Sus scrofa: one gene and its partner. The protein of the gene in region 2 binds, or shares a complex with, the protein of the main gene of each other region. Links are inferred from orthologs where the notes say so. Each region holds a gene or a part of one and is shown on either strand. Other genes may lie near its edges.

Region 1 (3,825 bases), on a different chromosome or scaffold from region 2:
GCCTTCTTTTGCCTTATTTCAATATTTCAATAAACAAGTTTTGTTTTTGTTTTTGTTTTCTTTTTAAATGGTGGAAAATCAAACTTTATTCTTCCTGTTTTTTTTTTTTTTTTTTTTTTTTTGCTGCATCCATGGTATGTGGAAGTTCCCAGGCCAGGGATCAAACCCGTGCCACAGCAGTAACCCCAACCACTGAAGTGACAATGCCAGATTCTTAACCCGCTGTGCCACCTGGGAACTCCCTTTTTGATCTTTGTTAAACTAGACCAACAAATATAAATACATTACAAATATTTTCTTGTTTTTTATAGACATGGAATAGAAGGAGTTTACATTCAACAAACATGTAATTGAGGACGAGCAAACCAATTTCGCAACAAGGAGTCTGTGAACGAAACAAATGGGAATGTTCAAGACACAGCAATAAATTAAAAAATGGTGAAATCATAAGTTGAAATCATAGCAGAGGTGGTAAAGCAGGAAGGTACCAATTCCTCGGCCTCGTATTTGAGGCCTTCCCCAGGAGGGCCCCTGCGTACAGTTTCTGCTCTAGGTCCTACATGCTTCTCTAGTTTTCCGATAGACAAGTTTCTCTGTTTTTTTTTTTTTCTCTCTCAGATCTACAACAGACCCACCACACTATGTCTCCAGGTCTTCAAATCCGGGTGCAGTTTTAGAGATTTACCAGCTAAATTATGAGGCCCACGAGGACCGGAGTGGGTCTTGCCCATCTGTGTGTCCCACTGACCAGGACAGTGCCTGCATGTGCTTACTGAGGATGTCATGAATAAACAAGGTTCCTGGGCTCCCCTGGGAGGGCCCCAGCTCATGCCCTTCACCATGTGACTGCTGAACATCGGCGTCCGAGATGAAGAGGGTCTGAAGCTTTTCCAAAGGCATCGTAAAGAATGAAAACATACACTGTTTGATAAAATACAAGAGAAAGCAGAAACAACTTGCCGCGCTCAGCTGCTCCTGGTTTCTCCTCACCCGCTCCATCTCTGGCGTGCTGCTCACTGGGGTTGCTCTGTGGCATCGCTCTTGGTACTGTAGCTGGGAGACAAGGCCAAGACAATGCAGGGTTACACCAAGGAAGGGGGGGGGCTGGTACTCCGGAACTGATGCAAAGGCATGGCACGTGGGAACGGGGCATTCGTGAGTTAAAATCTTCGTTAGGAGTGTTTACAGTGAAATACGATTTGCTAATAGACTCATCATCACCGTGATCCCGGATCTAAGCCTTTTCTTACTCAAAGGCTTTGAATTCTACCTCGGGGTGTTATTCATCAAATTGTGTTATTTATTGGTGGCCTCTCGGAGTTGGATCTTATCAGTAATGAGAAATGATCCTTTCTGTGAGTTCATTTCCTCATAGCACTAAAGCATCATTATTAAATGACTGTCTTATATTTAAGAATAAAGATTCTGCACTCTTCTCATTAGAGAGGAGGATTATGCCAGTCCTGTGCCCGCACCTCAGTGAGTGGTTGTCAAGCTCTGAACCTCAAAGTTTCCTTCTCTACAAAGTTCCAACACTGGAAGCCCAGGCTCTGACCAGCATCAGGGAGGTATTTCCGACCTACTGCATAGAGTCTTTCTTAGCTGGGGGGATCAGGCCAGCATTTGTGGTCAGGCTTCCCAGCAATTCTATAGCCCCTCGGGGAATAAATGAGGATCTAACACAGAGAGATAGAAGGACATGTCCACCCAATGAATTTTTGACAGGCAAAAGAAAACTAGAGGTTAAAATCCCATTATAAGGCACGCCACAGGAACAGTCTAAATGATTTTTTTAGAGTTTAAATTTAGTGTTAGGGAATTTTTTTTTTTTTTTTTTTGCAAGACATTACAAGGCCTACAGGGCCTGCAGATAAAATGGACTTGCAATATATACCCTCAGCAGTGAATGTGCAAGTGAAGTTTGATGAGCCTGAAAAATAAATGACAAAGGTCAGGCCCCTGCCAGAGTGGCTTCTTTCTCTGTGCCGACGTAAGCAGTTTGAGAGTTTAGGGAGAGTCTGTGCCGGATAAGTGCCTAAAGTGAGGAAAGGTCCAGTGTAATGTCTATGGATGGCAGCGTACAAAGGAAGATTACTCTGGGTAAAGCTCCGAGGGGAAAATTTTGTTGAACAGTGGCACTCCCAATAGCCTCCTCATGGCCTGAATTATCATTTCTCTCTTGTCTTCTTTCACCCAAGTGCTCATCACACTAAACCTCCCCCTCTTTGAGTTGATCTTGTATCCTAAACACATTCGGTTGGCACTGCCAGGAAGGCCCCTCCTCATGAAATCCCCCCTGTCCAAACTTTGAGTCATTCCTCAAGAGCTAACTCAAATGTTACTCTTTCTCCAAAGGTTTTCCCGTCTCTCACTGACATAGCCTTCCTTCTCTGCATTTCCCCAGCACGCTGAAAAGGGAATTATTACTTAACATTCAATGAGCCACTGCATGGGAAGAACTCAGAAGATATCATATACACTCGGTCAATGTTAGTTACTGTTACAGCACTTAACGCAGAATCTTTATTCCTACAGCTGTTTCTCCTAGAGACCTGGAGAACACTCACAGCCCCTACCTTGAAGGTCTGGCTCTCTCACCTTTGAATTGCCCCAAGGACAAGAAGAGAGGTCTTACCATGTTCAATGCCCTATTCTTTAATAAGCCAGGGCACACATTCTGGTGTGATGGTAGCCTGATGGAGAGATGTGTGAGATCTTATCTCCACCTTTCCGAACCCGGCCCTCCTGCCCCGGAATTCACTGTGATGGGACTTCACCCGCACAAGTGCCATGCCCACAGAAAACAATACTTAAAGAAATATGATCACACATTGCTGAGGTTCTTCTGGTTTTCTTTAACTCTCCTTAGCTCTGGTGGATCACAAATGGCTGTTGCAGGCTTCATCTCTTCTTTGTATTTCACCTGCGTAATTTATTTTTTAGAAAATGTGAGTCAGTCGACACTTAAAAAGACTTAAAAAGAGTTAAGAATTCTTCATTTGTAACGACTGCATAGCTGAAGTTTTCAATTCCAATATTAATTTTCTTTCCATGGGAACACATATTTCTATTTCACCGGGTGCTTTCGGATTCTTGTATCCTAAAGTACAAACAAACCCATATCTATTCACCATCCTTCACTGAAGAGGCTTTTTTCATTAAAATGTGTATAGATTGCTTGTGAAAATCAATTTTTATCACTAAGCAGATGCACCCAAAACTTTGGAAATCATCTTAATAATGGATTATTTTGATATGAACGGCAGTTTCTATTTATTAATATGGTCATTAAAATTCACCATGTATTTCAAGGCAAAAGTCAAAGTGAGTTAGCTACAACGTCTTGGGAAGATGGCTTACCTGACTGAGAGTACGCAAATAATCCAGAACAAGAAAAAAATAAGAGAGACAGGAAGATGGAGGGAAGGCAGAGGCCACTGAGTGCTGGTCATGACAGAAGGGCCAGTGGCAGAAAGTCAGGTAGCATGTTCTACCCACGCAACCAAGCAAGGCCCGCCTGTGTCCTGGCATTCACTCCAGTCCAAAGCTCTTCCTCAAGTCTACTTAGAGGAAGACCAACTAGATAAATGGCAGTGCCAGCACATGGTTATGCCAGGGACAAGAAACTGCTCTTTAAACTTATGAAATGATTAATGATGCCAACCTAACATGGGGTATTTTAATATGTCTGACGTGTATGGACGATTGGATTTGAGAAAAAGGACACACACATATGTATGGAAACACAGGCTAGACTTAAGAGGTATATGTTGAAATGTGGCAAAGACGTAGAGCTACACAAACAGGTTTGAGAAATCACTTGGT
Region 2 (3,825 bases):
TAATTTCTTCTGTTTTAGCTGTTGTTTTCTGACTGATAGCCTGGCTGAGGGAATTTAGGGTTGATTTCAAATCACCTCTTAAAATTTCTTCTTTGGATATCTTACTAGATGTACTCGGAGGCTCTGTCATAAAAACCTTAACTGTATTATGCACATCTCCTGGGATGATGTCAGTTTCATTAACAGTACGTTCAACCTGAGATTGCCTTTTCTTTAATAATAGTTTTGTGCCTTCTACATCACCACCAATGATTTCTTCCTCTTTTTCTTGTTTCCCAGCTGTTAGTGTTTCATTTGATCCTGTCTGGAGTTGTCTGAGATAATCCAAAGCTCCTGTTTCTATGCATGTTGTAAAAAACTGAACATTCCCCCTCTCAGAGGCATCAATTTTAGCCCTTTCATATATCTTATTGTTTGATATGGAAGATAGCAAGTTATGAATGGTACGTTTTACATCACCCCCTATTACTTCTTCACGCTCAGTTGTGTCACCAGCATTTTCATGAAGGAGGCAATAGATAGTCATGTTAATATCTCCTCTTTCATCTTCCTGAATTAAAATGCCTTTCTTTACAGAACTTTTCTGGGAGAACAGATTTTTTATTGCTTGTTGTACATCACCACTCACTATCTCTTCTTTTTCGGCATGAAACTCTGTTGATCTGTTTAATAATTGAGTTTTGGTCAAATTAACATTTCCCTTCTCTTCCTCACTAACCAAAATCTCTCTTTTTGTACAGTCTCTTTTGGAAAGTAGGTTCACCATTATATTTTTGATATCAACTCTGATAATTTCTTCTTTCTGTACCTCAGGAGATGCTTGATTCATGAGCTTATATTTTGCCATTCGAACGTCCCCAACCTCGTCCGCTTCAATGATGATGCCAGGAGCCTCAATAACTTTTTGCGAGTAAAGTTCTTCTAAGGTTTCTTTAATGCTCTTGCCAATAATTTCCACCTTTTCTACCCTGTTTTCAGTAAATTCATGAAGGGGTGTAGTTTCAAAGAGCCACGTAGTTGTCTTAACATCAGAAGGAGGGATTTCTTCCTTGGTGATTTTTGTGATGCTTTCATCTGCTTCTTTAATGGAATCCAAGGTTTGATTTTCAAAAAGCCATACTGCCTGCTTCACATCACCTTTCTGCATATCTTCCTGGGTGACAGTTTTGATATTTTCATATTCTGATCCTTCTCCTCTCAGCTCATCTAGAGTATGGGTCTCAAATAGCCAAGTAGATGTTTTAACATTGCCCTTTTGTATTTCATTGACGCTTACTGTTCTTATATACGTATTTTTATCCACATTTTCAGACTCAAAAAACTTTTTACTTGTCTTTACATCCCCACCTTGAATAGAGTCCACGGTGGGCGCAATAGCATGTGATTCTTCTGAAATCTGATCCAGTGGCTGGGTTTCAAATCTGTATCTAACAGAACTAACGTCTCCCTTCTGAATGTCTTCCTGTGTGACAGATTTAATAATATACACAGTCTCTGATTCATTAATTGAGTCTAATGGCTTTGTTTCAAAAAGCCACCTTGTCCCTCGTACATCTCCATGAATTACCTCTTCCTTTTTAACTGTTGTCACTTCATGATAAAACCCTTCTCTATCTTGAATTGCATAAAGTGGCTGGGTTTCAAAGAGCATTCTGTAGCTTTTTACATCACCCTTCATTACTTCCTCAGTAATTGTTTTCTTGGTGCTAATGTAGTCAGATTCTTCTTTAATCTCATCCAAAGAAAAAGTCTCAAAAATAAAGCACCCCTTTCTTACATCTCCACCTTGTATGTCTGTCACTGTCTTAACTAATTCAGCCCCTTCTTGGCTTTCTTTTATCATATCAATTGGTTGGTTTTCAAAAAGCCACCTACAATTTAAAACATTGCCTTTTTGAATATCTTCAGTCTTCAGGGTTTTGATCTTTTTCAAAACTTCTTCTGAACTGGAACTTATAGAATCTAAGGACTGATTTTCAAATTTATGCCGTATGCTGGAGACATCCCCAGCTTGGATATCTATTTCCACGGCCTTGATTGCCTTTCCTTCTTCTCCTTGTATGCTGTCCAAGTTTTCTGTCTCAAAAAGAAAACATGCTGTACGTACATCTCCACCATGGATTTCCTCTTGTTTTACAGTTTGCAATTTGACTGTTGCTTCAGAGTCATCTTTTATGGTATCAAGTGGCTGTGTTTCAAAGAGCCAAGTACAGGCTTTGACATCTCCCTTATGAATTTCTTCATTGCCAGTCATTAACGAAACTTTTTCATAAAGAGACTCCATTGGCTGGGTTTCAAAAAGCCATCTACAGGTTTTGACATCCCCTTTAACAATATCTGTAGCTTGTTCAGTTTTACTTTCTACTTCTTCCATATTACTAAAATATTTAATTGAATCAAGAGGTTGGGTTTCAAACAGCCATTTAGCAGATTTCACATTCCCAGCCTGTATTTCTTGAGCAGAGATTCCTCTAATAATCTGATATTTATGAATGCTTTCATCAAACTGGTCAATGGGCCTTGTTTCAAAAAGCCACCTACAGCTTCTTACATCACCTCTTAGGATTTCTTCTTGCTGCACTGTCTTTACTTGATGATATTTTCCAAGGTGATCTTGAATGGCATATAATGGTGTGGTTTCAAAGAGTGATTTATTTAACTCTACAGCACCTCTTGTGATGCCTTCCACCTCTATTTTATGTGATGCATCGAATTTCATTAAGTTGTTTGATTCAAAGATATGTGTGTAATTCCTTACATCTCCTCTGTCAACTTCTTCTAGTTTCACTGTTTTTACATACTCTTTTTTGTCTTCTCTAATCTCTTCCAGAGGTTGGGTTTCAAAAATCCATTTTTGGTGCTTAACATCCCCCTTTTCTTTTTCAGAAGCAGTAATTTTTTCAAGTTTTCCTACATCAGGGCTGTCTTTTAAAGCCTCTATTGGAAGTGTTTCAAATAGATGCTTAGTAGTTTGTACATCACCCCCTATTATCTCTTCAGATCTTATAGGGTCTGTGTTAGGAACTTCTTTTAGAATATCTAATGGTTGTGTTTCAAACATCCAACACTTTCTAGAGACATCAGTACCTATTATTGTTTCCTTTTCAGTGATGACCTCTTCTGACTCTTCTTTGATTTTCTCCAAAGGTTGAGTTTCAAATAACCACTTTGCCCTACTCACCCCACCTTTGATATTTTCTTCCATGGATATTCCTCTGATGACTTTAATTTCTGTTATGTTCTTGTTAATTGTGTCTAAGGGTTGTGTTTCAAACATCCAACGTGCTGTTCTTACATCCCCCTTTTCAATATCTTCTCTGTGAACAGTTTTAATTTCTAGCATTTGACCTGAGCCATCTCTAATAACATATAATGGTTGAGTTTCAAAACATTTTATACTTCTCTTAACATTTCCCTTAATTTCTTTGAGCTCAGACCTGAGTTGCAGTAGGTGTCCCTCGTCTACTGAGTGGAGCTGTCCAAGTTGATCCAGATGTTGAGTTTCAAACATGTATCTCACAGTCTTGACATCCCCCCCCGTTATGTCCTTTATGGCAGTTACTACTGATTCTTCTTGAGTTTGATGCATTTTGTTCATTGAGTCTAATGGCTTTGTTTCAAACATCCACCGAGCTGTGCGGACATCTCCTCTGGCTAGTTCCGGAATTTTCTCAGCATTTTCTTCAGTGCCAGAAGAATGATCCCCCAGAGTATCAATGGGTTGAGTTTCAAACATCCATGTGGTATATTTCACATCACCACCAGCAATGATTTCTTGATCGGCAATGCCTTTGGAGATGTTATCTTCATCTGGCGAGCCATTGT

Evidence for each region.
Region 1: the proteins of XIRP2 (region 2) and NEBL are in contact, whole or in part, in a crystal structure (PDB 4F14), measured with the Homo sapiens proteins. The link is inferred for Sus scrofa from reciprocal best matches to the Homo sapiens genes XIRP2 and NEBL. Residues at the interface, in NP_689594.4 of Homo sapiens: Pro2420, Pro2421, Pro2422, Thr2423, Leu2424, Pro2425, Lys2426, Pro2427; in NP_006384.1 of Homo sapiens: Tyr963, Asp964, Tyr965, Asp969, Asp971, Glu972, Ile987, Asp988, Asp989, Gly990, Trp991, Met1004, Pro1006, Asn1008, Tyr1009.

The regions. Positions count from the first base shown.
Region 1 is NC_010452.4:53,913,051-53,916,875, reverse strand, and holds part of NEBL (nebulette), read right to left. Parts: intron 2,924-3,825; coding exon 2,831-2,923; intron 1,054-2,830; coding exon 961-1,053; intron 1-960. UniProt on the Homo sapiens protein: Binds to actin and plays an important role in the assembly of the Z-disk. May functionally link sarcomeric actin to the desmin intermediate filaments in the heart muscle sarcomeres.
Region 2 is NC_010457.5:73,724,829-73,728,653, reverse strand, and holds part of XIRP2 (xin actin-binding repeat-containing protein 2), read right to left. Parts: coding exon 1-3,825.